Nothobranchius furzeri: one gene and its partners. The protein of the gene in region 3 interacts with the protein of the main gene of each other region in a biochemical or structural test. Links are inferred from orthologs where the notes say so. Each region holds a gene or a part of one and is shown on either strand. Other genes may lie near its edges.

The links. The genes of interacting proteins can lie anywhere in the genome.
Region 1: of the proteins of cul2 (region 3) and cops5, one has a biochemical effect on the other in vitro, tested with the Homo sapiens proteins (3 studies listed by BioGRID). The link is inferred for Nothobranchius furzeri from reciprocal best matches to the Homo sapiens genes CUL2 and COPS5.
Region 2: the proteins of cul2 (region 3) and cdc34b form a complex in vitro, tested with the Homo sapiens proteins (2 studies listed by BioGRID). The link is inferred for Nothobranchius furzeri from reciprocal best matches to the Homo sapiens genes CUL2 and CDC34.
Region 4: of the proteins of cul2 (region 3) and dcun1d3, one has a biochemical effect on the other in vitro, tested with the Homo sapiens proteins (2 studies listed by BioGRID, with this or other methods). The link is inferred for Nothobranchius furzeri from reciprocal best matches to the Homo sapiens genes CUL2 and DCUN1D3.
Region 5: of the proteins of cul2 (region 3) and dcun1d4, one has a biochemical effect on the other in vitro, tested with the Homo sapiens proteins (2 studies listed by BioGRID, with this or other methods). The link is inferred for Nothobranchius furzeri from reciprocal best matches to the Homo sapiens genes CUL2 and DCUN1D4.

Annotation. Positions count from the first base shown.
Region 1 is NC_091747.1:51,741,372-51,746,725, reverse strand, and holds the start of cops5 (COP9 signalosome complex subunit 5), read left to right. Parts: upstream 1-1,748; 5' UTR 1,749-1,907; coding exon 1,908-2,047; intron 2,048-2,189; coding exon 2,190-2,424; intron 2,425-4,514; coding exon 4,515-4,643; intron 4,644-4,920; coding exon 4,921-4,986; intron 4,987-5,144; coding exon 5,145-5,230; intron 5,231-5,310; coding exon 5,311-5,354. Other genes in the region: centrosome and spindle pole-associated protein 1, read right to left, coding at 1-194, 283-384, 454-537, 642-739, 801-843. UniProt on the Homo sapiens protein: Probable protease subunit of the COP9 signalosome complex (CSN), a complex involved in various cellular and developmental processes.
Region 2 is NC_091751.1:57,908,371-57,913,442, forward strand, and holds the start of cdc34b (cell division cycle 34 homolog (S. cerevisiae) b), read left to right. Parts: upstream 1-1,466; coding exon 1,467-1,652; intron 1,653-1,736; coding exon 1,737-1,823; intron 1,824-1,914; coding exon 1,915-2,012; intron 2,013-3,589; coding exon 3,590-3,724; intron 3,725-3,837; coding exon 3,838-4,048; 3' UTR 4,049-5,072. Other genes in the region: splicing factor Cactin, read right to left, coding at 43-341. UniProt on the Homo sapiens protein: E2 ubiquitin-conjugating enzyme that accepts ubiquitin from an E1 ubiquitin-activating protein, and catalyzes its covalent attachment to other proteins by an E3 ubiquitin-protein ligase complex. In vitro catalyzes 'Lys-48'-linked polyubiquitination.
Region 3 is NC_091747.1:38,626,480-38,630,868, reverse strand, and holds the end of cul2 (cullin-2), read left to right. Parts: intron 1-1,398; coding exon 1,399-1,601; intron 1,602-1,678; coding exon 1,679-1,780; intron 1,781-1,881; coding exon 1,882-1,998; intron 1,999-2,368; coding exon 2,369-2,500; 3' UTR 2,501-3,081; downstream 3,082-4,389.
Region 4 is NC_091756.1:31,620,814-31,626,255, forward strand, and holds the start of dcun1d3 (DCN1-like protein 3), read left to right. Parts: upstream 1-1,836; 5' UTR 1,837-2,221; intron 2,222-3,227; 5' UTR 3,228-3,294; intron 3,295-5,442. UniProt on the Homo sapiens protein: Contributes to the neddylation of all cullins by transferring NEDD8 from N-terminally acetylated NEDD8-conjugating E2s enzyme to different cullin C-terminal domain-RBX complexes and may play a role in the cell cycle progression by regulating the SCF ubiquitin E3 ligase complex, after UV damage.
Region 5 is NC_091748.1:39,454,300-39,459,441, reverse strand, and holds the start of dcun1d4 (DCN1-like protein 4), read right to left. Parts: upstream 3,607-5,142; 5' UTR 3,491-3,606; coding exon 3,472-3,490; intron 2,550-3,471; exon of another isoform or gene 2,531-2,549; intron 2,246-2,530; coding exon 2,175-2,245; intron 2,098-2,174; coding exon 2,058-2,097; intron 1,971-2,057; coding exon 1,883-1,970; intron 1,763-1,882; coding exon 1,674-1,762; intron 1,585-1,673; coding exon 1,514-1,584; intron 1-1,513. UniProt on the Homo sapiens protein: Contributes to the neddylation of all cullins by transferring NEDD8 from N-terminally acetylated NEDD8-conjugating E2s enzyme to different cullin C-terminal domain-RBX complexes which are necessary for the activation of cullin-RING E3 ubiquitin ligases (CRLs).

The sequences.
Region 1 (5,354 bases), about 13 Mb from region 3:
TCATCTTCTTCTGAGCTTGTTTCCTCATTAAGCTTTTCTGACTTACGGAGTTGCCATCTCCTTTGTCTTCTACAACATCCTCCTTCAGTCAGAGTGGCAGCATCTCTACAGGATGCAGATTGCTCCTTGTGAAGAGGTGGAGGAGGTGAGTTTGTTTGAGTACTGAGGAAGGGCGAAGGAGAGCCTTGCGAAGCCTGGTTAGGGATAATTTAGGGAAAATAATCAGTTTGAAGAAGTTTTTAACACATTTTGTGGCAGAAAGGCTGAAAACATGTTTTTCGCCTTTGAGGAGATCGGAGGTGTTCCTCTCTTGGACCTTCTCTTCTGAGCTTGCTCCTGGAGGAAGATGTTGTATTCTTTTTTCCTCTCTTCTCGTAGTCTGCCCTGTGAGAGAGTCACACATGTAACTAAATTTTTAAAATGTGCATGTGCACACAAAACATGCACACACACCTTTATTGATGCTCTCTCGTTGATGGGTAAGGAAAGACCCTGGTGCTCCAGCACCTGGGGCTCACAATTTCTGAAATTATATATCTAGAAGAAGAACAGTGCGGATGATGAAATGGTAAAAAAAAAAAAAGATGGTGACTCTAAAGCTGTTTTAAGATTTCTTTACATTTTTGAGTACATCACCAGACCTTAGCAACACAATCTTTGTTGTCCAGTTGCAGCTCCTGTAGATGTTTCTGCTTGTTTTTTTCATAATCACTTCCCAGCCGCAAACTCATGTCCAAACCTGACAAATAAAATACTTTAAAACACTAAAACCCCACCCCCCAAAAAATGCTCTGCGTTACCTCTGTCTGGGTGCGATGCAGGCGCTGTTGATGCTGGACTCATACTAAAGTCTCATTTACTGAACATCATTATTCCTTGGTTGGAAAAGAAATCCACACAGCAAAATTACTGATTTGTTCATTACCTGAGGTGATTTGAAAGTATAGATGTTTACTCACCCAGCTGCTGCGTGGCATTTTAAGGTGACTTTTCTGTGTTTTGCTCCTTTAAGATCTTCCCATCTTACCATTGACCTACATAAGTATATCAGAAGTATAGAAGGTCCAAATTATTCTAAACTTGCAACCATGGAAGGAAAGACGCTAATATGTTTTATCCGCATCTAAAACCCAAACAAACGCTCATCCGGAAGCACTGCACAAAGTGCGTTGCTAGGGGCAACCATGACACAAAAGATAACCCCAGGAGGCTAACTAACGCTGCTAATACAAAATTGTAAACAAATGTGTCACGCATATAGTCTGAAATTAATTTAGAATTTATTATTTTACTTTTTTACACCCGTGAACACGTTTTATTTAAACCGCAAGTTTACTCACAGCTAAGCTAATAGTAAATATTTTTAGGAGCTGGTTTATATTTAATACATTTCCTGAAATATTTAACAGTAGTTCGGGTTATTTTAATTAATGAACTGACGCAGTTTCTAAAGAAGCGTGAAGAAAAAAAGGGTGTCAGAAACAAACCTGCACATACAAAATCCGCCGCTAGATGTCAGTGCGTCATTAAGTGACTCAACAATAGACCTAACTCTCTGTGGGTGAAACCATCTCTCAGAGGGGTGTTTACACTTACACAAACTGTAACTAAATACCTAAAATCCGCTTTGTTACATATTTAATTTCCACACATGATACAGTATCAATCTTGAAATTATGTACAATGTTTTAAAATGTTCAAGAAAGGATTCAGTTTAAATATTGCAACCAAAGGAAACGTCAAACCTGGGAATTGGTATTGTTCACTGTCATGGCTTCCTGAGCGAGCGGTTGTTGGGGCCTAAATCATCTACGCTGAAATATCGCTTTTCTTCGTTCATTTGACTGGGAATTTAAGGGCTTAAATACTGTTTTTTATTATTATAATTATTTTAGCCCGATTAAATCATGATGACCGGCAACAGCACGGCTCAGAAAACATGGGAGCTGTCTAACAGAATGCAGGAAGTCCAGAGCATCGATGAAATTTACAAATATGACAAAAAGCAACAACAAGAAATCCTCGCTGCGAAGCCATGGACAAAGGAGTGGGTTAAATACGGAAACGAATGATGAATTTTCAAACACTTAGTCTTCTGTTGTGATATTTAGGTGTACTTAAAGCAATAGTTCGTTTTTTAGTTATGCCTCTTGTTTGTTTATTAACTGTGCTTCTTCTAACTCCCTCAGTCACCACTACTTCAAATACTGCAAGATCTCAGCTCTGGCCCTGTTAAAGATGGTGATGCACGCCAGGTCTGGTGGAAACCTGGAGGTGATGGGTCTCATGCTGGGAAAGGTGGATGGAGAAACCATGATCATCATGGACAGCTTTGCTCTGCCAGTGGAGGGGACAGAGACCAGAGTCAACGCGCAGGCTGCAGCTTATGAATACATGGCTGCCTACATAGAAAATGCCAAACAGGTAAAATCAAAGCCTGCATGTTGCTTCCTGTGGCGATACACTTCATTTTACATGGGTATAGACATTTTAGAATATTTTTAATTGTGTTTTAACGATACAATGTTAGATTTACCTGTAGCTGTCTTTATGGATCCACATGCAATCAGACGAGAATAAGCAAAGAACACACATGCAGTGGTGCTCTCAGAAAGGTTTTAATGGGGGGCCAGTGAAAATTTTGGGGCAGCACACCCCATTAGTGGAGTTTATCCTGTTGCCATTGAATGCTCCTTCACCTAAAATCTGTTAGTTTCGTTGACAAAATAGTTTTAGGGTTGTTATTTTTGTGACAAATTAATTTTTGTGAACAAAAACTAAAATGTATTACTTCTATAAAGACTAAATTATGACTAACATTGATTGACGCATTACTTGATGAATAAGATGACAACAAAATTTGACTGTAACTAGGGCTGCAACAACAAATCGATAAAAATCGATGAAGAACTGCATTGGCAAGCATGGCCAAAAATGTATTTGGAATTCAGTAGTTTTATAAAACAGGTAACATAAAAACTCAAGCAGGTAACTTTCAGAATGTTCCTTTGGGGCGTTTTAAAGCATCTACCACACACACACAGACACACACACACACACATTCATAATAACCATGTGCCATTGTTATTTAGGGTGGTCGCTTTCTTTTATCTGACTAGAAATAAATTTACAGGAAGTTGTTAGTGACATTTAAAGAGCAAGTCACCCCTTACAAGAAGCGTACTTCACTCCCACTTCATGTTTGAAAAATGCAACAAATGCTGTTGCCTAGCAGACCGAGAGGGTGGAGCCACTAACAAATACACACACTCATGACATTGTGACATCATAATGTACCAGTTTACATCATAGCATACCTCTTAGCCAATAGCGGTGGCAGATTTAAATTCAAATGCAGTGCAGAGTTTTTACCTGACAACGGCACAACACTGACAGTTTCAGGCAGAAAATTTAAATTTTTACTAAAATGCACTAAAGTGCAAAACTATTGACTACACGTGTCTACAACACGATTAGACAAGCATTTATATAGTTTATCAGGAAAAAATAATTGATTTGGGGGTGACTTGCTCTTTAACCTTTATTCTTTTTTATTTAAAAAGAATAACAACAATTAATTATTTATAATGACATTTTTATCATAACTCGACTAATTCCCAGGAATCTATCGAAGGCAACAGGCGTGTGTAAATTAAAAATGTTTTTCTAATAAACAAGTTGGCTCCTTTGTTTAATTAGCAATGGACCGATATGAAATTTTTGGGCCGATACCGATAATAATAATATCACTGTTATGGCCGATAACCAAACGTCGATACCGATATACTGAAATTAATGCTTCTGAAATCAGCAGAATTTGTATAGTCTGAAAATTATTAAAGCTGAATTTATGTTATTATGTACACACAACACACACATTTATGCTTCTGAGATGATTACAACCACTGTCACATGACTAAACAAACACACATCATCCCCCTCACCCTCTGAAACAGATAAACAAGTGGAAACAAGATGGAAAAAATATCAGTTGTTAATATTGGCCTGGTTTTATTTATCGGACGATAACGATATGTTAAAAAATGACTAACATCGGCTGATATTGATGCCAATATGTTGTGCATCCCTAATGTCAACAATTAGATTTAAAACAATATTACTGCTTATTTCTATTTGTATTTGGCAGAATGTTAATTATGAGTGTGAGTGCAATTGTACAGAAGCTCTACGATGCACATTACAAATGCATTGTGTTGGAGTTGGAGCTGGGTGCTGAATTGCTCTGTGTTTTTGCCGTGGTGAATTTCATGCTGGAGTAATAAAACAAAACGTGTGCATCAACTGTTTCTACTACTCCACTAGGGTGTGATAAATGATTTATTTTTCCCTTTTTCCATCGTTTTGAACCGTTTTTTAGGATAAATCTGTTGTTTCTCTAGAAATAATCTTCAGTTTGAAACAGTTTGGAGTATTATATTAACTAGTAGGGAAGCAGTCCTTTTATAAAAATGTTTGTGTCGTATTAAATCTGTACCATCGGTCTCATCTGGTAGGTTGGTCGGTTGGAGAACGCCATTGGCTGGTACCACAGTCACCCCGGCTACGGATGCTGGCTCTCCGGCATAGACGTCAGCACTCAGATGCTCAACCAGCAGTTTCAGGAACCTTTTGTTGCAGTTGTGGTGAGGCAGGAAACGCCACTTTTTTGTTTCTTCAAACAAATAAACATGAATGTTTATGTCACTGAGAAGATGTATGAGTTGTAGCTTTCTGTGTTGTGTTGATGCAAACATGGACACTTCATTTGGTGCAGCGGCTCTTGGCTGCCAGCGGCATCACATAATTAAGTGTGTGTGTTCTGTGCTGTGACAGCTCCGGTGGTCAGGTTTGAGTGGTCCCCGGAGGCTTTCGTGACCTCTGACCCTGTTTTCCTGCTCTACTGTATCTCTCTCTCCACAGATCGACCCAACCCGGACTATTTCCGCAGGGAAAGTCAACCTCGGTGCCTTTAGAACATACCCAAAGGTAGAGGAAAAGAGTCGGGCAAATTATGTGTTTAACGTTTTTGGGACACAAAACACGGGTGTGCTGTTACAATAAGTTTCAATTAATGCTAATCGTTTTAAATTTAAATCTGTTCACTTTGGTTTTTAATTTAAAAAGTCTTTTCTCTTCACTTTCAGGGTTACAAGCCTCCAGACGAGGGACCGTCAGAGTACCAGACAATTCCTCTGAACAAGATTGAAGATTTTGGCGTCCACTGTAAACAGTGAGGAGCTGTAGAATAAAATCATTGCATTAAGGTCACTTTAACTTTGTGAAACTCCTTATTATTTATTTCTTTTGTAGGTATTACGCCTTGGAGGTAACCTACTTTAAGTCATCCCTTGACA
Region 2 (5,072 bases), on a different chromosome or scaffold from region 3:
CACAACCTTTTATCGTACTGTAACATATTGTGTTAAAATTACCTCGATGCACGATCCTTTGATTTGCTGCTGTGGCGCGGCGCTCTTCGACATCTGTCCCCCTCCGATTCACTCCTGGACCCTGATCGGCCCCTATGTTGAGGTCGGGCCCGAGAGCCATCGCTCGAAGCCTCGCTGCTGGATCTGCCTCGACCCAGTGTGGTCCTTTTCGGGCTCGGAGACCTGTTGCGACCTCTCCTCTCATCTGGAGATCGCGACCTGTTTACTCTGGACTTGTTTCGGTGATCTCTGCCCCGACTTATGGACCTGGAACGAGACCTACGCCGTGTTTTCGAACCCATCACGAACTTTCTTCTTTTCGGGGCCCTAAATGCAGTCTGTCGCGTAAATAGGAGGCATTGACGAAACACTGTTGATTATAATAACGTTTACAATCGCACTAATAAAAACATATGTCTATGTTTAATGTTCGCATACTCTAACGTGTGCTATGACAGAAAAAATTACGTGTCAGATTTCTTTTATAAAAAATCCAAATGTATTTAGTAAGGCAAAGAAAAGCTAGCCTAAATGGGCTTTCCTGAGCACTGGCGCAGATTAAAACGTCACAGCCACTTAATAAACTACAAATTAGCCACAAATGAACGCAGGATTGTTTTTCTTACAATTTAGTTATGTCGGTGATAAAATACTATTATTGATGTCATAGATATTTCGTCCATAGTAACCGCTACCGTATTTAAACAGTTTAACAGGAAAATGCAAGCACAAACAAACTTATTTTTCTTTTTGGGCATTTAAAATAAAAATAAAAACATCATAAATAAAAAGAACAGGAATTATATTATACCAGGGTTTTCAGTTATTTTGGTTTCACGTTTTTTTAATCTAACAAACGCGGAATGAAAGACTACCAGTCCCAGCCAACAACAGGGCGCCATTACCTGTTTTTACCAGGGGACTCTTTCAGCAACACATTTCCTTTCGCAGCTTTCTATGAGGGCTAAACAATTATGGTTACTGGAGGTATAGTTTGGCGTAGTGTCACATGACTTTTTGCGTTTGTCTTTTCAAATTGCCATTTTATGTAGTTATTTTGTGTTTTTGCGGTAATTACGTCGCTCCAGCTGGTCAATTAGACGGAGCTTGTTAGCTTTCCTTAGCTAACAGTAGATTTAAGGCTTATATCAGCTGCTGCTCTGCCAGGTAAATCAGCCAAAGCTGTTGAGCCTCTCAGACACAATGTGTTTCTCGTTTATAACATTACTGAGTTTTGACATTAATAACGTTTAATTTGGGAACAGACCAACCGCAGTCTTTGTTTTGCTTTTACGCGCGGTCGGCCTGTTTTCTTTGCCTCCGAACATCGAAAAAGGAGAAGTTGTGCTGTTTGCTGGCTTGGCTAGCTTAGCCGTGTAAACAAAAGCTGTCGCCTCCAGATAATCCTGAAAGCTTCATAAATCATTATGGCGCAACACGACCCTTCTCATGTAGCTAGTTCGCAGAAAGCTCTCATGTTGGAAATGAAGAGCCTCCAGGAAGAGCCTGTGGAGGGATTTAAAATCACTCTGGTGGACGAGGCTGATTTATACAACTGGGAAGTCGCCATTTTTGGTCCACCAAACACTCATTATGAAGGGGGATATTTCAAGGTAAGGTTGTAATTAAAATCAGATGACATATAAGAAATGACCGTAGTTTAAAAAATAACAAGATGTCCCCATTTTCCCCCCTAGGCAAGGATCAAGTTTCCTACAGATTATCCTTACTCCCCTCCTGCTTTCCGCTTCCTAACCAAAATGTGGCATCCCAACATCTATGAGGTTAAATATTGACGTGTGTGTACTCATAACAGTGTATTTAATTTGAATGAATGCATCTGATGATGGAATGTATTTGTTTCCCCTCTTGTAGAATGGAGATGTGTGTATTTCTATACTGCACCCTCCAGTGGATGACCCGCAGAGCGGAGAGCTCCCATCAGAGAGATGGAATCCAACCCAGAATGTTCGGTTAGCATTTCTCTTTCTAATCATATTCTCTCTATACGTTTCTCCTTTCTGGTCTCCTTCCATCTTTGTCCACTTTGCAATCACTTCAATGGTTCACCCAGCGCAGACTCTTATCTTATGACATTCATTATCAGCAGCATCTTCTTCACCGGCTGCAGCAGCCAGCAGTAAAGCTAGATCTGCATCTTCCTCTTATTTACAAACAAAATTAAATTGATCTTTGGATAATATCATACTATGCAAACTAAGATTTTGTTGGTTTATTTCTATGAAAAACATACTTTGAGTACCTTAATTCATTGTGACTCACAATAAGTGTATCGCATGAGTTTGACAGCATTTTGCTGCAGAAGAGGGAGAAAATGCATCTTTATTTATTATAAACTTCCTTCTGAGGTTATTTGTCAGGCTCACATTATGCAATCTGTGCACAAAAAAATGTATCTTTGATCTTTTTCTGTAACTGAGAGCCAGATTTCTATTCAACAAGAAACTATCTATGTAAAAGCCACCACAACGATGTCACACTCACAAGTGATATTAAACCTGTGATCTGTAGTAGTCGAAATCACACAACTTCAGCAGTGTTACAAAGATGTAAGCTCTGGTGGTTTCGGTCACTTGATGCAGTGCAGCTCTTATGTTTTTGTTGTTGCAGGTGGTATACCGTTAACCTAACCTAATTTCCTCATTTGCATTTTTGCTGCAGACACATTAGATCTGTAGATCAGGAAGTCTGTCACAAAGGCTGTTCCTTTGGCCACAAACAGAAGCAGCTTCTTTCTGTTTCCCATAACGACTCACTAAAACCTTACTCACAATGCTACGTTTTATAAATGTAATGTAAAGGCTTGTCAGTGCGCATTGTGCGCTCTGCTGAGAAGGTGATTGGCTGCAGCCCTCCATCTCTCCAGGACCTGTACGTCTCCAGAACTCGGGGGCGTGCAGGCCGGATAACAGCTGACCCTTCGCACCCGGGTCACAGACTTTTTGAGCCGCTTCCCTCAGGCAGGAGGTTACGGTCCATCCGGACCAGAACCTCCTGCCATAAGAACAGCTTCTTTCCATCTGCCGTTAGACTTGTGAATAGATTATAAACACACAACCATGCTGGTCTTCTGTACTCGACACAACGTCACGTTATCGGCCATGTTACCATTACCTGCCATTTTAGCTGAAAGTTTTATTCTAGTTTTTTTAATTATTATATTTTATTCTATTTTATTCTATTTTTAATCTTATTATTCATGTTATATGTAGCACATTAGTGCCGAAGCAAGTTCCTAGTTTGTGAATTGTTTGTTCACTGAAAATGGCAATAAACCTATTCTGATTCTGATTCTGGTAGGGTGGTAGCACATGGGTCTGACAGGTTTTTTTAATACATGTTTTATCAATTAGCTTTAAGTTCCTAATGTAATATGTGCTTCATTGTTTATTCTAATAAAATAGTAGATGAAATAAGTAATTTAGGCTTGTGACATTAAAATATTTTTTATGTGTTTAAAACTTTTTAATTCACCTAAAGTCGTTTTCTTATGGTTCTATACTAAGTTGCCTTTGTTTTTTGCTTCTAGGACCATTTTGCTGAGCGTGATCTCGCTGCTAAATGAACCCAACACCTTCTCCCCTGCCAACGTGGACGCCTCTGTCATGTACCGGAAATGGAGAGACAGCAAAGGCAAGGACCGGGAATATGTAGAGATCATCAGGTAAACATTAGTGTAATGTTATTTAAGACAAACCTCAAATATTTCTAAAAGATTTTCAAAGCCACACCATCCACACAAAAGTAATTCAGTCTTCATAAAACAAATCCCTTCAGGAAACAGGTGCTGGCCACAAAGGCAGAAGCAGAGCGAGATGGCGTGAAGGTGCCCACCACGCTAGCTGAATACTGCGTTCGTACACGCGCCCCGCCGCCAGACGAAGGCTCTGACCTCTTCTATGACTATTACTATGAAGACGATGACGTGGAGGGGGGAGACGGCGACTGTTGCTATGACGAGGATGACTCGGGCAATGAGGAGTCGTGACATTCTTGTTGTCAGAAAACCCAACCTAGCTGACGAATGCTCATCCTTTAACTCTTCCTGGGTTGCCAGATATTCTTGGTTTGCAACCAAGAGAGATTGGAAGCTTCCTTCTAAATCAGTACAAGAGCTTTTTTCCTTCAGCCTCAGAGGTTAAAACTGATGCCTCGTTGCGAGAGGGTCAGACTGTGGTCACTTTTGCACCAGCACAGCCACCAATTTTTTTTTCCAACTTCGAGAACTTTTCATCACACTGAAGCTTACTTTGCTCACAAAATCCAGTCCTGGTTTTAGTATGAAATATTTTTGGTTGGGTTTCATGATCACTGAACTGGTGCAAACTCTTAAACCATCACTTCACCTGTTTTGCATAGCTGTATTTCTCTAATTGTAACTGGGGGTGTCTCACTGGTTGTCCGCCTCGTGGTGGAAACTTTTACAGACTTCAAGATGGACAAAGGACTGCAAGTGTCCCATATTTTACAGTTTCTGTCTTTGATTGGCAGGACATGGAGGAGTTTTCATGGACAGTATGTTCAAAGTTCTCATGCATGCCAGAACTTCTTTGAAAGCTTTTTGTCTTTTTATTTTTATTTTTTAAATTGGTGGACTGTTTCCCAACGTCATGAGAGACTCGTGGCAATGGAGGGCCGTCCCGTCTGCTGGAGTCTGCTGAGTCAGCTCCTCATATGAACATTCTTACTAAAACATGAAATTGATCTCTGCTGGGTTTTTATCTTGGATGTGTTTTTCTGTCACTCAGTGTGGGGTTGTGTTTTTTTGAATGAACTTGTTATTAAAGTTGTGTAATAATCAAGTTGTTGAAGGTTAGAGGGGCAGAACTAATTATTGATTAGAATTGTATTTCTCCTCAGCGTTGCTCTCTGAGCCGCCTGATGGACCCGAAGAACTAAAGCAGAGTGTAAATTAAATTTTAATACGCTTTGCCAGATGTTTCTCTTTTTGCTTTCTTGCAGGCCCTATGATTTTAGTTTTTCTTTGTTAGATGTTCGGCATGCACTGGAAT
Region 3 (4,389 bases):
AACTATCTCTGTTGAGAGTTTCAATGTTTAAAATCTGTTAAATTGTTACTGACAGCAGCTACATTTAAGTTTCACTTCCTGTTCTGACTGCTGCAGCATGGAGGTGTAGTTCTCAGTCATCCTGAACATGATCATCCTGAGAGTTTTAGCTGAAAACAGCTGCACGTTTCTGGATATGTTGGAGACATTTAGCCTCTCATCCCAGAGGCTGCTTCCAGACTTTGGTTGTGGTCAGAAACAAACACACTGGTTGTGCTGCAAGTCTTTTTCTTTTTTTCTCCAAAACATGTTTTTGTCTAAATGAAGGTGATGTTGTTGTTCATAGAATTAAAATTCATGTTGAAGTTAAGATTATTTCATCCAGTAGGACCTGTGATTAGCTGGCTCGTGTAAAGCATGTCATGTCTTGAAAGAATCGGAATTGGGAATCGATAGGAACCGGAATCGAAATGAGGAATTGGAATTGGAATCGGAATCGTTCAAAATCAAACGATGCCCAACCCTACTCTTTAGCTCCTGGTAGCCAGTATGGTGTTCTTTCAGTCAGGATTTATAGTAACACTAAATAGTTTCTTAAACTTTAAACTAGAGCTTTAACATTGATCTCGGTGATAGTTGGGTTAAAAAACTTGACCAGTTTAGTATTTGAAACACTCTGCAGCCCTCTGCTGGCCAGATACCACTCTTAACATTTTTATCGAGCCAGTAGGTGTTCTAGGGGGTGCTCTTACACATGCATTACGGTTGTTAGCATTACTTTATTACTTTTACTTCCTCGCTCTGCCACAATGCCAACAGAAAAGCAAACTTCTTATTTTTCTTGTGCTTTTTATTGATGATCAACAAACTGAAAAAGCCAACTGCACAAAAAGTTGCTAACAGCCGTAATGCAGGTATAAGAGCACCCCCTAGAACACCTACCCCTCCACAAAACTGTCAAGTGCAGTATCCGGCCAGCAGAGAGCTGCACATTGGCGTCAAATATGAAACTGGTCAACTTTCTAACCCGACGATCACTGAGATCAATGTTAAAGCTCTAGTTTAACATTTTAAAACTATTTAGCATTACTTTAAATCTCATGTCCAAGATAGACCAATAAACTGGGAGCTTTGGCTTTCAGCTCAGCTGAGTAAAGATCTTGTCTGCTGCTCCTCCACCCATCTCAGGTTCAGCAAATCCAAGACACCTTCATTGAAGATGTGACAGCAGTGAGACATGGCAGCTAAGCACACGAGTTTGGATTAAACACAATATTCAGATTTTTGCCTTGAGACTTCTTGTAATGAAGTCACTCTTTTTTTTCTTTGATTCATTTTAAGCTCACACACAAACTAGTCGTGTCCACACCTCAGCTTGGTATTTTCAGTGCTGATCTTACACGTTTTTTCTCTTCACAGGTGAGGTTAAGATGAACTACCTGTCCAAGCCTTACGTCGCCATGGTGACAACTTATCAGATGGCCGTGCTGCTGGCCTTCAACAACAGTGAGACGGTAACGTACAAGGAGCTTCAGGATGGCACCCAGATGAACGAAAAGGAGCTTCAGAAGACCATCAAGTCCCTGCTGGACGTCAAGATTCTCAACCACGACTCTCAAAAGGTGCTGAGTCAGTGAATGCAGCATCAAATCCTCAGCAGGACCTGCTCTCTGCTCACCGTTGTTTTCTTTGTCTACAGGAGGAGATTGAAACCGAGTCCACGTTTTCACTAAACATGAGTTTTAGCAGTAAAAGGACAAAGTTCAAGATTACCACCTCCATGCAGAAAGACACCCCCCAGGTCAGATGATGGGTGATCTGTTTCAGTTTGGTTTATACCAGTCTGTTAACTTAAGGCCTTAGCAGGCTCAACAATAACAAACCCGTGTCTGTGATGTTCAGGAGATGGAGCAGACGAGGAGCGCTGTAGACGAGGACCGCAAAATGTATTTACAAGCTGCTATAGTCAGAATAATGAAGGCCCGCAAGGTGCTCCGACACAACGCCCTCATCCAGGAGGTGAGTGGAAACTCCTGACAGATGAGGTAGTGGAGGAAAACACGGCTCATGGAGGGTTGGAATGAATGGGTCCTGTAAAGTTGAGTTTAAATTCTGTAGAGGTGAGGTAACTGTTATGTTAGAGGGAGATGTTTGATCATGTTGGAGGACATGAGCAGTGAAAGCTCCTGTCAGCTGACGGCTACAACGCATACACAAGATGGAAGGGACGATTCTCACGCTTATCTCCCTTCTTTATAACCTACCTGGAAACTGATGCTGTTCCTGTAGACAAAACCATAAATCAGTGTTTTTAGTCGTTTCCCTAAATAAATAATAGAAAGAAATAACTGCATTAGATTCATGTTTGTGCATTAACGTGTGTTTACAGGTCATTAATCAGTCCAAAGCCAGGTTCAACCCCAGTATCAGCATGATTAAGAAGTGTATCGAGGTGCTCATCGACAAGCAGTACATCGAGCGAAGCCAGACCTCCGCTGACGAGTACAGCTACGTGGCGTAAGGGGGGGGGAGGCTCCATACAGAGACTCATGAGACTGACTGAGGACAAAAACCACGATCAAACACACGATCCCAATTATCCATTTAGGTTCAGGACGGTCACTGTCTGCTGTGTTTCTCTGTGGTGACTAAAGCAGGACTCGTGCCTCCATCTCAGATAAGATTAATGTCATGGTTTCACGTCGGACACCTCCACCCATAAGGCCCTTCTTCAAGCCCCTCCCACTTTCTGATTTTAAACTGTTTACAACATCACCAGTGCCACGCACCTGTGCGTCTAAAGAAAATGCCTAAAGCAGCTGGAGAGGACGGATCTGCCGATCTGCCGGCAGGGACACAGGATGGGGACAGGACTACTTGTGGCATCAATGACTCGTTGGTGGCTACACAATAAACAAACATGCTTTCTTTTCTCACGTTTGCAGTTGTGTGTTACTTTCTTTGTTAAATGTACTGAATTAGGAACAATATTGTAACAAAACTGCTATATTGACTATTGTTATCTACTTTAAAATGTAAAGAAAGAGTGACAAACATGATCTTGCTGCTTGTCAAATAAATCAAAAACACTGAAGGCTTTTATTTAGGTATTCGTCATGTGTCTATATAAGGATGGAGTCTTTAGCTTTTAGCTTGTGACGCCATCATCATGTTCATTTAGAGCAGGGATGTCTAATAATAGTCCCAAAGGGTCTGTATCCAGTATGTTTTAGTGTTTTCCCTGCTCCACACACCTGAATGTATAAATCGCCTGTTCAACTGCTCAAATACTGCCTAATAGGGCAGCAGTAGCTCAGGTGGTAGAGCGGGTTGCCTCATGATCGGAGGGTCATGGGTTCGATTCCAGCTCCCGCTAGGGGTATCCTGCTGTTGTGTCCCTGGGCAAGACACTTCATCCAACTTGCCTGTGTTAGTGGTGGTCAGAGGGGCCGACGGCGCCAAATGGCAGCCTCGCCTCTGTCAGACCTCCCCATGGCACAAGTAGTACTACAAGTAGCTTTCCATCACTAGCAGTGTGTGAATGTGAGAGTGTGTGAAAGCATCTTTGAGTGTCTAGAAAAGCGCTATATAAGTTCAATGCATTATTCATTATTATTATTAATACTCACTAATTATATCTGCAGGACGGTGGCCCTGAAGGACCAAGACTAGACACCAAATTACATCTGTTACTTTATATTGTAGCTTTTGAATTAATTAGTTTCTATGAAGAATTTATCGATGGATATATTATAACACAAGGCACGTTCAAATATAGAAGGTGGCTCCCATGTGTGTTGTGTTGACGGCTGTCCACGGTGCTGATTAGATACCTTTTTACTGACGTCAGCTCTCGCAAGACCTTTATCGTATTACCAGAGAAGTATCACCAAATAGTAAATGTCTCTTATTGCTGGTTAAAGATGCATGCGCACAAACGGTCCCTGTTATTAGTCATCTAAATTATATTTTGCATGGTCTTATGGAACTACGGCGGCACGTCTGACTCGAGATCAGAAGGTTGAGTGTTAAAATCATGTGGTCAGCTGCCTTTTCTCACCTGTTATTCTGTCTGCATGTTTGTGTTTATTGCTGTTATGGTCTTGGCCTCCCACTGGACATCTGACCAAACAGGTAAGGACAGAGATGCAAACTTCTGCTGCAGATGATACCAGATATGCCATCTGGTTCTGGAGAAGGTCCAGTTTGTTCTTGAGCAAATTCAGTGTGTGTGATCATTGCATCTTTGGGTCTAGAACCTTAAACATTAGGGGTGCACCGATCTATCGGCCCTGATCTCGGCTTTTGTCAAGATCGGTGATCGGCCAAAAACTGCAATCTGTGCACCCCCAATTAATGTTCAAACGAGTCATTGCTTTAGAATATTTATTTAGACAAATGTGCCAAAAC
Region 4 (5,442 bases), on a different chromosome or scaffold from region 3:
AGCTGTCGCCTTGCAGCAAGAAGGTCCTGGGTTCGCTTCCCAGCCTGTGCATGCGTGGGTTCTCTCCGGGTACCCCAGCTTCCTCCCACAGTCCAAAAACATGACTGTTAGGTTGATTGGTCTGTCTAAATTGTCCCTAGGTGTGAGTGTGAGTGTGTGTGTGTGTGTGTGTGTGTGTGTGTGTGTGTGTGTGTGTGTGTGTGTGTGTGCATGATTGTTTGCCCTGTGTGTCTCTGTGTTGCCCTGTGATGGACTGGCTCTCTGTCCAGGGTGTACTCCGCATGATTGCCCATTGACCGCCGGAGATAGGCACCAGCCCCCCCACCCCACCCCCATCCCGCGACCCCGCGTCGACAAGCGCGCTCAGAAAATGGATGGATGAAATAATTATGACAACTCTCTTAATCAGAAGACCTTTGTTGTCATTGTGTGGGTCAGTCCTGTTCAATGATGTAACTATGCCTCCACTACATACATATGCACCGCACAGAGTTGGTCACATTATTAAAATGATAAACAAAAAGACATTCAGGCAGTTCAATCCTCAAATTACAATTGGCTCTCTAAGCTTACTGACCCACCAAGTGAATGAGGCAAAAGGTTTCCATTGATGACACACAATGGACGTAGTTTTTGTTATTATAATTTTGTTTGTTTGTTTTTTGGGATGGGGGGTGTCCCCCACACTTTTTTCAATGTAAGTTCTTGTCCTCTGCACTTTTAATCGTTCAAAAACAATATTACGCAATAGGAGTGGGAATGAAAATGACTAACAAGGTGAAAAACAAAGTTGAATTGAAAGCCGGTCTACTCTGTTGGGCTTAGAAAAAATAGAGCTGACATACTTGGTGCTGCAGCCTGCTTCCAGCCTGTTTCCTTCGTGTTTTAGATCATGAACACAGCTGATTTGTTTGATTTAGTGATAAATCGCTCATGTAGACACAAAGGAAGGCTGGGGAGATTTTCAGCAATTAAGATTCAAGTGTTAAAAAGACAAATGCACAGCAAAGAGATGTGTTTTGCTTTTGGTTCTACGAAACGAATACTAGGGGGTGCTAAAGAAAGCAAAACTGCCAAATGTGCCTTTAAAGCAGGATATGTAATTCAGTTTCTATGTCCTGTTAAACCTACTGGTGGCACTGAGTGCTGCGCTTTGAGGTGTGCATGCTTTGTATGAGCAGGTGAGAGATAAATAGGACATAGGAGACTGAAAACTCAAGCTTGTCAAAAGAAAATGGAAATAAAAACAGAAATGGAAATTATTGACTGTGGTTGCTTTTAAAGGCTCACATGATTGGCGTGTGCATTTATTTGAGTATTATTGATATTATAGTCTTTTTAGCTGTAAATTTGAAAATCTATCTAATCTGTAAAACTGCTTATTTAAAGGAGGGAAATTAATGATTGTTTCGCAGTTGTAGTCATTTTTCAACTGTGCATTTTAATAATTGTGGACTAAGAAGGGAAATATTTCACATAGCCCCACCAAGAATTATTTTCAGCAGCCGCCACTGGTGTGGGTGTGTGAAATCTAAACCAAGCTACTCAATGCAAATAAAATTACCCTCCAATTAAAAAATTAAATAAAAAAACTGCTTGCAGATGTGTTTTTTATACACTTGTACCACATGTCTTTACATTTTAAAAATGCAAATGAGCGCATAAATAAATCTGTACAAACTGTTTCCTGTTTTTCCATATCCAGTGTTTTACTCTGGAAAACAAAACAAAAACATTTTTCGACTTCCCCGGTCAAGTCCCAAACTATTATGGTGACAGAATTCGGTGTGACACCCCCGCTCAGATGGAGATCAGCTGTTGGCTGTTAGCACAGACAGAGGAAGTGATGCAGGAAAATGTCCATAATGTAGTTCAATGACTAAAAGGGGGAAGCACAAAGAAATAGGCAGCCTTAGTCCGAGAGTGGCTCTTTAACTTGTTTTAAACTGCGAACCAACAAAAATGAATTCCGATACAAACTCTGACTGCTAATCATTTTATCATTCCCTAAAGGTAGAATAGAGTGCGACTTTATTATGGAAGTTTTTTCTTTTTTTTTCTTTTGGTCAGCTGCCTGCTAGTTTGCTAACAATCTGACGACGAGTTTGCCTCAGTTCGTTACTGCTGGTATTTCGGCCAACTTATTTGCCCACCTTTGTTTTCAGTGACATTTATGAAGTGATGTACATTCAAATGACGCGGCCTACGTTTTCCTAAAAAGGTAAGCTTTTTGAGGATATTTATCTCGTTGTGTCAGCCGGAGAAGACTTAGCATAGCCGCTAGCTAACTTTTAGCTATGTCGACGTGGTCAGGGCCAGGCACTTTAGATGTGGATGTTTAAATGGCCCGGTGACGAGGATGGATCGTTGATCAGTAACCGATTAGCGAGTATTGCCCGACTACTTTAAGCAGTTTAAGCGGACTATTAAACAGAAACTGAATCAGTGTTTACATTTCATTTGGAAGTGCTGTACATGTGCTGTTAAGCTCCCTTGATCCTGATCAAGAGCTTGTCTGTCTCCAACAAGCATAACTTATTCAGATCATCGTTATCAGATGTGTGTTTTTAAACCCAGCAGCTCGTGCTCGGTGACAACATAGCTGCAGATATTACAATTTAATATCTGGGCTGCTCTTCGCCTCGGACAGTTTTTAAGACCAGCTAATCCAGTTAAATTGACGTCTGGATGTGTTACACGGTGATGCCTGTTTATTGTGGAAAAGGGGGCCTTTAGACATCCATCTGATGTCAGAGACTTGAAGTTGGCCAAGTTAGAAGTGTGGGAGACGTGCCTCTACATGTCCAGGACATTGATCTGTACTGGCAATTTGCCCCTGAAGCCTGACTCTTCTTATTAATGTATGACTAGTGACTTTATCAATGATCTGAACAGAGTTGAGTTTGGGTTTAAAAATCAAAGCTGTGTATTTTGCATTAAGCATTGTGAATTATGTTTCATTATAACATGTGAGACTCTTTCTTTGTGGAAGCAAAGAGTTGTACAGAAACCCTTCAAGTGGAGACACAGAAAGATTACCCCACTGTGTAAATATTGCACAATGACTTCTAACTGTCATTTTAGGGTATTTTAAAACTGTCCAATAATTATTTTGCAAGAGGAGAGTTTTGACTTTCTCTTTGTATTGACAAAAATAGTCCCTGCAGATTTGGGAATGAAGAGCTATTGCTTTCTGCTTATGATGACAATATAATGTGTCTTTGCAGCGTTGCTGATCTCAAGGTCACAATGATGGAGCAGAACTGAAAGACAATGCCATCTGACGGAGTGTCTGTAAGTGAAATTGTCATCAGCTGCTCTTTTATGATATAATGCATGAAGTCATCACATCATGTGTGTGTGTGTGTGTGTGTGTGGTAACCATGTCTGTTTTAGTAATTAGGTTAGTGGAAAGAAAATGATGCATTTACAGATTAAACAAACTACCAAATTGATGTTTGCAAGTAAAAACAAAAAGTGATTGATCTGGTTTTACTCATGAATTACAACCACATCTATGAGAATATAAAATATATGAAGCATTGTTGAGCATTCAGTCTGAAAAATGTTAATGGAATGTCTTTCTGATTTTAAAAAAATGATCACAGGATTTGTTGTGTCTGGGTGCAAAGTTACGTATCAATTTTTTAGAGTTTTACTGATAAAAGTTAGTTAAACAATCAAAACATGCAACAAACAGGGCTTTGGAAACTCTCCCTTTATGAAAAAGCAGGTTTGTTTTAAACGATCCCAGACTTCATTAGCGACATATTTCTAAAGCACTTCCCTCATTATTTTCACATGCTGCAACAATAATCTCAGCAACAACAAGACATGAGGCATCAGGTTTAGCTCTAACCTAAATGTAAACTGTAGAAACACTTTTCTGTTGGCTCCCATCATCACATCAGTCAAAGGATTACACAAAATGCTGACATGGCTTCAAGGGATATGACCCAAGTAATTAGCTTGTTCAACTAGCTTAAACAGTAACTACCTACATTCACGGACTGCACACAGTCTGATGAGACATCACCTACAAAGCTGTGTGGGTGGATGGAATGAAATTGATCTGTACATCATTCATATCCCTCATAACACAGATTTTTACTCTGCTCTCTTTAACACCCACCCTGCAGGAGCTGAAGACAAGCCCTGTGTGTTACAAGAGACTGTAACAATTCTGGCTCATTATATATAGGTCCTTCTCAAAAAATTAGCATATTGTGATAAAGTTCATTATTTTCTGTGATGTACTGATAAACATTAGACTTTCATATATATATTAGATTCATTACACACAACTGAAGTAGTTCAAGCCTTTTAATGTTTCTAATATTGATGATTTTGGCGTACAGCTCATGAAAACCCAAAATTCCTATCTCAAAGAAATTAGCATTTTTCATCCGACCAATAAAAGAAAAGTGTTTTTAATACAAAAAAGTCAACCTTCAAATAATTATGTTCAGTTATGCACTCAATACTTGGTCGGGAATCCTTTTGCAGAAATGACTGCTTCAATGCGGCGTGGCACCTGTTAAGGTTGGTTTATGCTTGACGCGTCCGCGAGGTCCGCACGGAAAAGTTGCGTCATTTTGCGTCATTTTAACAACCACGCCCCTCCACCGCGCCTCCGCACGGCCCAGAATTTCCGCAACGCGCACCTCGGAAAATTTCTAACCACGCGGACGGTCGGACGCGGAAAAACATGGCGGACCGGCAAGAACTAGTACGGCAGAGGTTGGTAAATACAGACATTTGTATGATTCAGCTCTCAAAGATCACCATGATCAACATGTTGTTAATAATTCTTGGAGAGAAATAGCTCGCACTGTCGGAAAAGACGAGGACGCTGTTAAAAATGCTGAAATGCCATGTTGTAAACAGTGATTTCTACTTCTACTATGGTGTAGTGTTGGATGCATGCTGTAGAGCTCCATGCTGCCCCGTTCAGTATGGGAGAATATTGTCTCACCGCAGAGACGAGCCGCACAAACCATAAACACTGCGAGTTGTGAAGCACGTTCCAGCCGCGAGCCGCATCACCGCGCAGAAAGTGAATGCGTCAAGCATAAACCAAGCTTTATGGAGGCCCAGGATGATTCGATAGCAGCCTTAAGCTCATCCAGAGTGTTGGGTCTTGCTTCTCTCAACTTTCTCCTCACAATATCCCACAGATTCTCTACGGGGTTCAGGTCAGGAGAGTTGGCAGGTCAATGAGCACAGTAATACCATGGTCAGTAAACATAGTGGTTTTGGCACTGTGAGCAGGTGCCAGGTCGTGGTGAAAAATGAAATCTTCATCTCCATAAAGCTTTTCAGCAGATGGAAGCATGAAGTGCTCCAAAATCTCCTGATAGCTAGCTGCATTGACCCTGCCCTTGATAAAACACAGTGGACCAACACCAGCAGCTGACATGGCACCCCAGACCATCACTGACT
Region 5 (5,142 bases), on a different chromosome or scaffold from region 3:
AAGAAGAAGAAAATATCATTTCTATAGCGCCTCTCAAGATAAAAATCACGAGGCGCTTCACAAAAACAAAAAAAAGTAAAAATATTTAAAAAAGCATTTAGAAAATGTTTAAAAATATATTTAAAATGGGCAAAAATAGGCAATTGGGATTTAAAAGAAAAAATGTTAAGAAAGAGAGAGAGTGAAGAGGAAAGAGGGAAATCAGTGGATCCTGAGGAAGGTGGAATAGGTGGGGAGAGCAGAATAAAGAGAGAGAGGTGAAGAAGGTCATACAAAAGCCAGCTTGAACAAGTGAGTCTTCAGCTGCTTTTTAAAGGAGACCACTGAGTCCACTGATCTCAGGCTCAGGGGGAGAGAGGTCCAGAGTCTGGGGGCCACAGCAGCAGATGATCTGTCACCTTTGACCTTTAGCCTGGTGCTGCACAACCAGTAGGCTTTGGTCACTGGACCTCAGGGACCTGCTGGGGGTGTAGGGACTGAGAAGATCACCAATGTAAGATGGTGCTTGTCCATGTAAGGCCCTATAGACCAGAACCAGGATCTTGAAATGAACCCTGAAGTTGACTTAAGGGGACTTAAACCCCATAAGCAGGTTCAGGAAGGCCTCTACTACAGGTAAGATTGTAATTATTCATCAGAGATGAGAACTGTGGTATCAACAAGTCATCTCCATGCCGTGTTTTAGTTCTGCTCAGCAACTGAACTAGGTTCATTTACTGTGCTGATTGAAATCCCCTGGTTTAGTTGCTGAGTTGAAGAAAAACATAGCATGGAGATGACTTGTTGATGCCTCAATTCCCCATCTCTGTTATTTATATATAGAAACACATTCAAAATGGTCAAAATATTCCTTTAAAGGCCCCAAGAAGAAACAACATAATCAACAAGTAATACATCTTTCAAAAATAAAAAATAAAGGCAAAAAATGGGTTCAGCAAAAAGGTTTGACCAGACATGGTTCCTGGGACGGGCACAGTAATCAAGAGGGCCAGATGACCTGAAAGTCTCTCTGTAAGCAAGCACTAGTGGTGTGGTGATATTTTAGAATGGCCATAAGTAGCCAGGGATGTGTAATGGAGCAACTTTTGACCTTTAGGGTGTGTTGAATACCTGCAGTGGGTTTCGTGAGACCTGCTAGAACCCACTGAGGTAGCTATGATGAGACAACCACGAGTCGGGGACCATAGAACAGCAGCTGTTGCCAAGTTAACCGGATTCTCTTTACCTGCTTTTAGGACGTGAAAACAGATTGCGCTGCACATCAGATCTGTGTATATTTGTGTTTTAGGGATGCAAATTTGTTGAGTTATGTCAACAGATTTCAGATTGTAAAAGCATTAATGTGTATGCAAATGCTGACCGTATGTTGCTATGACTAAAATTCCTGTTTCAGTGTCACTGAGACAGTGTGATGGGCAGCCAAAGGAGGAAATAGAATAAACTAAGATCATGCAAATGGAACCAAACCAAAACCTTGTCCAGTAGTGAACAAGTCTAAATAAAATCTGCTCACGTTTTCAGGCTCCACTCCGATGTCCTCACAGAACTTCTCTATGCCCTCTGGACCCACCACATCGTCACAACCTAGGTGAGCCGAGCAGCATCACACAGCATTAACTCAGCTACAAACACAAAGATCAGTGACTAAACCAAAATGTGTGATGACTGCTCACCTGCATATTCATAAAACCACTCCAAACATCTTTTACTAGAAAACGTCTCCTCCTCCCGGATTTGCGATGTTTCATGTTTTCTGAAAACACTGTAGATAATGAGACGATGTCAGCCGTGAGCTAAGCAGCAAAACTACAGAAGCATATTTGTGTCCATGTTTATTTTAATAAGCCACAACAATCAAGTTTCCTGAAAACCCTCCTGTCACCTCTCTTGGCGACTTTTCTTGGCTGACATGTCATCTCCAGCAGAAGGTCTCCTCTTTTTCCTAGGTGGCATGGCTCTTGAGTAGCAAGCTGTCAAAATAATTCACAGCAGATCAGTATCAGCAGAACTAGCGTGCAAACTGCATGAAGAACAGAAAACACACGTAAGGATTTTACCTGACGGGTGGCTATCCTGTCCAACGTCTTCAGCCAGATTCTAACAAATAAAAGCATGTGAATAAAAAAAGAAACATTCACTTCACACAAATAATCAGCCTTCTGTTAGATAGTTACCAGCCTGTGTAAGGTGTGGTGAATCTTGTGGATGCTGGCCAGTGTAGTCAAATGAGAATTCAGCTGAAAATCTATCCACAAAAACATTTAAATGACATTTTAGAAAAATCCAAATAAGGCTTCATTTATAACTTAATACTCGACCTAATCATGTAAGGTTATGAAGAGGTGACGTCAACAACGCTAATAATGGAGACTTGAATCCTACGTTGCCTATGAACACAACATTACCATTTAACCCACACATATGATGTGTTTAGGGCTTTAAAATGGCAGAAAAAGACCCTCACGATTGACTCCCTGTGCTACTGAAAGGACAGGACTAAAACGCTAATATATTCGATTATGGCGGCTACCTTGTGAGTAAAAGCCGGGTGTGTGTTGCTGTTTAGTACAGAATTATCACTAGAGGCAAAACTCAGAGAAACGGCAGAGATAAACGAACGGATAGCACTAGCTGCATACCAAAAATAGCAGTAGACGAGCAACTTGCAGAGTTTACAAAGTATCCAGAGAGTCGGGCGTCTGGATGTTGTAGTTCTTTTCCTTTATAGTGGTCGTTAGAAGCTAAGCTTTGCTTGGGTTAATAAACTACAATACCCACGTCTCTACAAAACAACTCTTTCTTTCAGACTCATCTCCCCCCAACATGTACCTTTTCCGACTGAATACATTTTACATTGATTAATAAATGTAATGCGACATGGTCACTGACAGGAAAGCACTGTGGTGACGTTTTACAGAAGCTAACGTGGGCTATGAAAAAATTGCTAGCACTGTTGCAGCAAGCAACGAAAGATGTTTTACACAACTGCGTCACAATTTTCCTTCTCTCTTACAGTCCGCAGCTGACCCGAAAATTGGCCGAATCACGCCGAATTACAAGTTTGAGTTTAAATATTATGTGCGCCACGAGTAACGAGGAATAGGAACGCCACAACGCACCGACTGCAATCGAAAATCCTCTGAACTTAAGCAGCGTCGGTGGAATTTAACCTAAAACAGCAGCACAACCCGAAAATAATTACCAGAAATAAACTTATCGTGTCTCAGCAAACGTTTACAACTGAAAATAGCTATAATTACTGTAGCCATCCTTCCTTTGTTGTCGACCCAGACAGCACTGGCAAATACAAAGAGACTAGCAAATAAGACAGGATTCATGCGTTCCCATGAAACCTGACAGACACACGGGACAAAGGCGGATGTAGAAACACAACGCGTCCGTTTTTTCTGTCTGATACGCGCACCAACAACGAGAAAGGTCGCAATTTGATGCAGAAACGTTCTCACTTACTTGCCGCATCAGAGTGCATTTTTATGAAACATACAACTGTCTGTGGGAAGTCCGTAGACCGGCCAATAGGCGGGCCTTGTTAGCGTAAAGGACGCCCGTACGCAGTAACTGAAATTCGGCTTGAAGTCTCTGCCCTTGCTCGCTTTCTATTGGCTAATAAATATGTCCTTTCTGGAAGGGGCGGGAAAAACAGACAGGAGAACGCCTATTTACTAATCGGATTGGTCAGAGCTCCTCCAATGGGCCGTGCTACGTGTACGTCAATCACTAGAATTTCCTCGTGCAAGCCTAAAGCCGGCCCACGATGAGACCTGATTGGTCGTTCAGGTGTTCACTGTTTTATATGGGTTAGGTTGATAAGTGTTATGGTTAGTAAAATAATTAGTAATTCGTAGTTTTGTTTTGTTTTCCCACTAGGTTCACACTTACTTTCCTTATTCAAACAAAGTGAGCACACATGCAAATAAATTATATTGGATCACTAAAACAGATAATATGACATTTTGAAATATTTAAATCAACAATTTTTTTGGCCTATGTCGGCAAGCACAAAGGCTGAGAAGAAATGAGTTTTAATCTGTTTTCAGCGTGATCAAGCCCAACACCTGTACGTTAATGGTGTGTTCACCTTTGGATCTTCATGGTAAGATGGGTTAGGTAGTCACTGTTTGTTCAAGGCGATTGTATTGTTGTTATTAGCAGCTGATATGTTTTATTACCACATGGAAGATCATAAAAACTGGTCTAATACAGAGAAAATATGAGCAGCTTTCTCAACCAAAAAGTAGTTTCTCTAAAATTACTAGTGTTTCTATTTTGTTTTGTCTTTTAATTAACATCTTGCTATTAAAGTGACTTGTTTGTAATTTATGCTGAGTAACACACTGCCTGTTCAAAGAAAAGTCACCACCTGGATTTAATTAAAGCAAATAGACATGACCTGCTGGGCCTGACTCCAGTCTTTGACACTGTTGACCATCACCAGGTACTGAATAGGCTGAGAGACTGGTCTATCAGGATGTGCTCTGGAGTGGTTCTCCTCATATTTGTCTATTCCTTCTTTGTGGCTATCTCCAAGTTTAGGTCCTCCACCACCTTCTCCACACACGGTGTACCACAAGGTTCTGTGCTGGGGCCCCTACTGTTCCTCCTCTGTCTGCTTCCTCTTCAGCACATACTGAGCTTCTTCAAAGGAATCTCCTACCATCTTTACACAGATGACATCCAACTGTACATCTCCTTTAAGCCCCATGAGATGTCTAAGCTTGGTGCAGCAGTAGCTCATCAGGTAGAGCGGGTTGTCCAGTAAACTCCTGAAGACCCTGCTCTTCAGAGAGCATCTTCTTAACTAGCACCTTGCCTGCACCCGTCCCCCCTCTCTACTGTCCACTACTTGTTCCCTCCTCTCCATGACTGATGTTAATGTTGTTGTTGTTATTGTTATTGTTAGCCTCAAGGGCAAAATGCCGATTATCACTTGTATGTCGCTTTGGACAAAAGCGTCTGCTAAATACATAAACATAAACATAATCGGAAGGCTGCAGATTCGATCCCGGCTCCGGACAGAGAATGCTGCTGTTGTCTCCTTGGGCAAGACACTTAACCCACCTTGCCTGCTGGTGGTGATCGGAGGGACAGTTGGCGCCTGTGCTTGGCAGCCTCGCCTCGGTC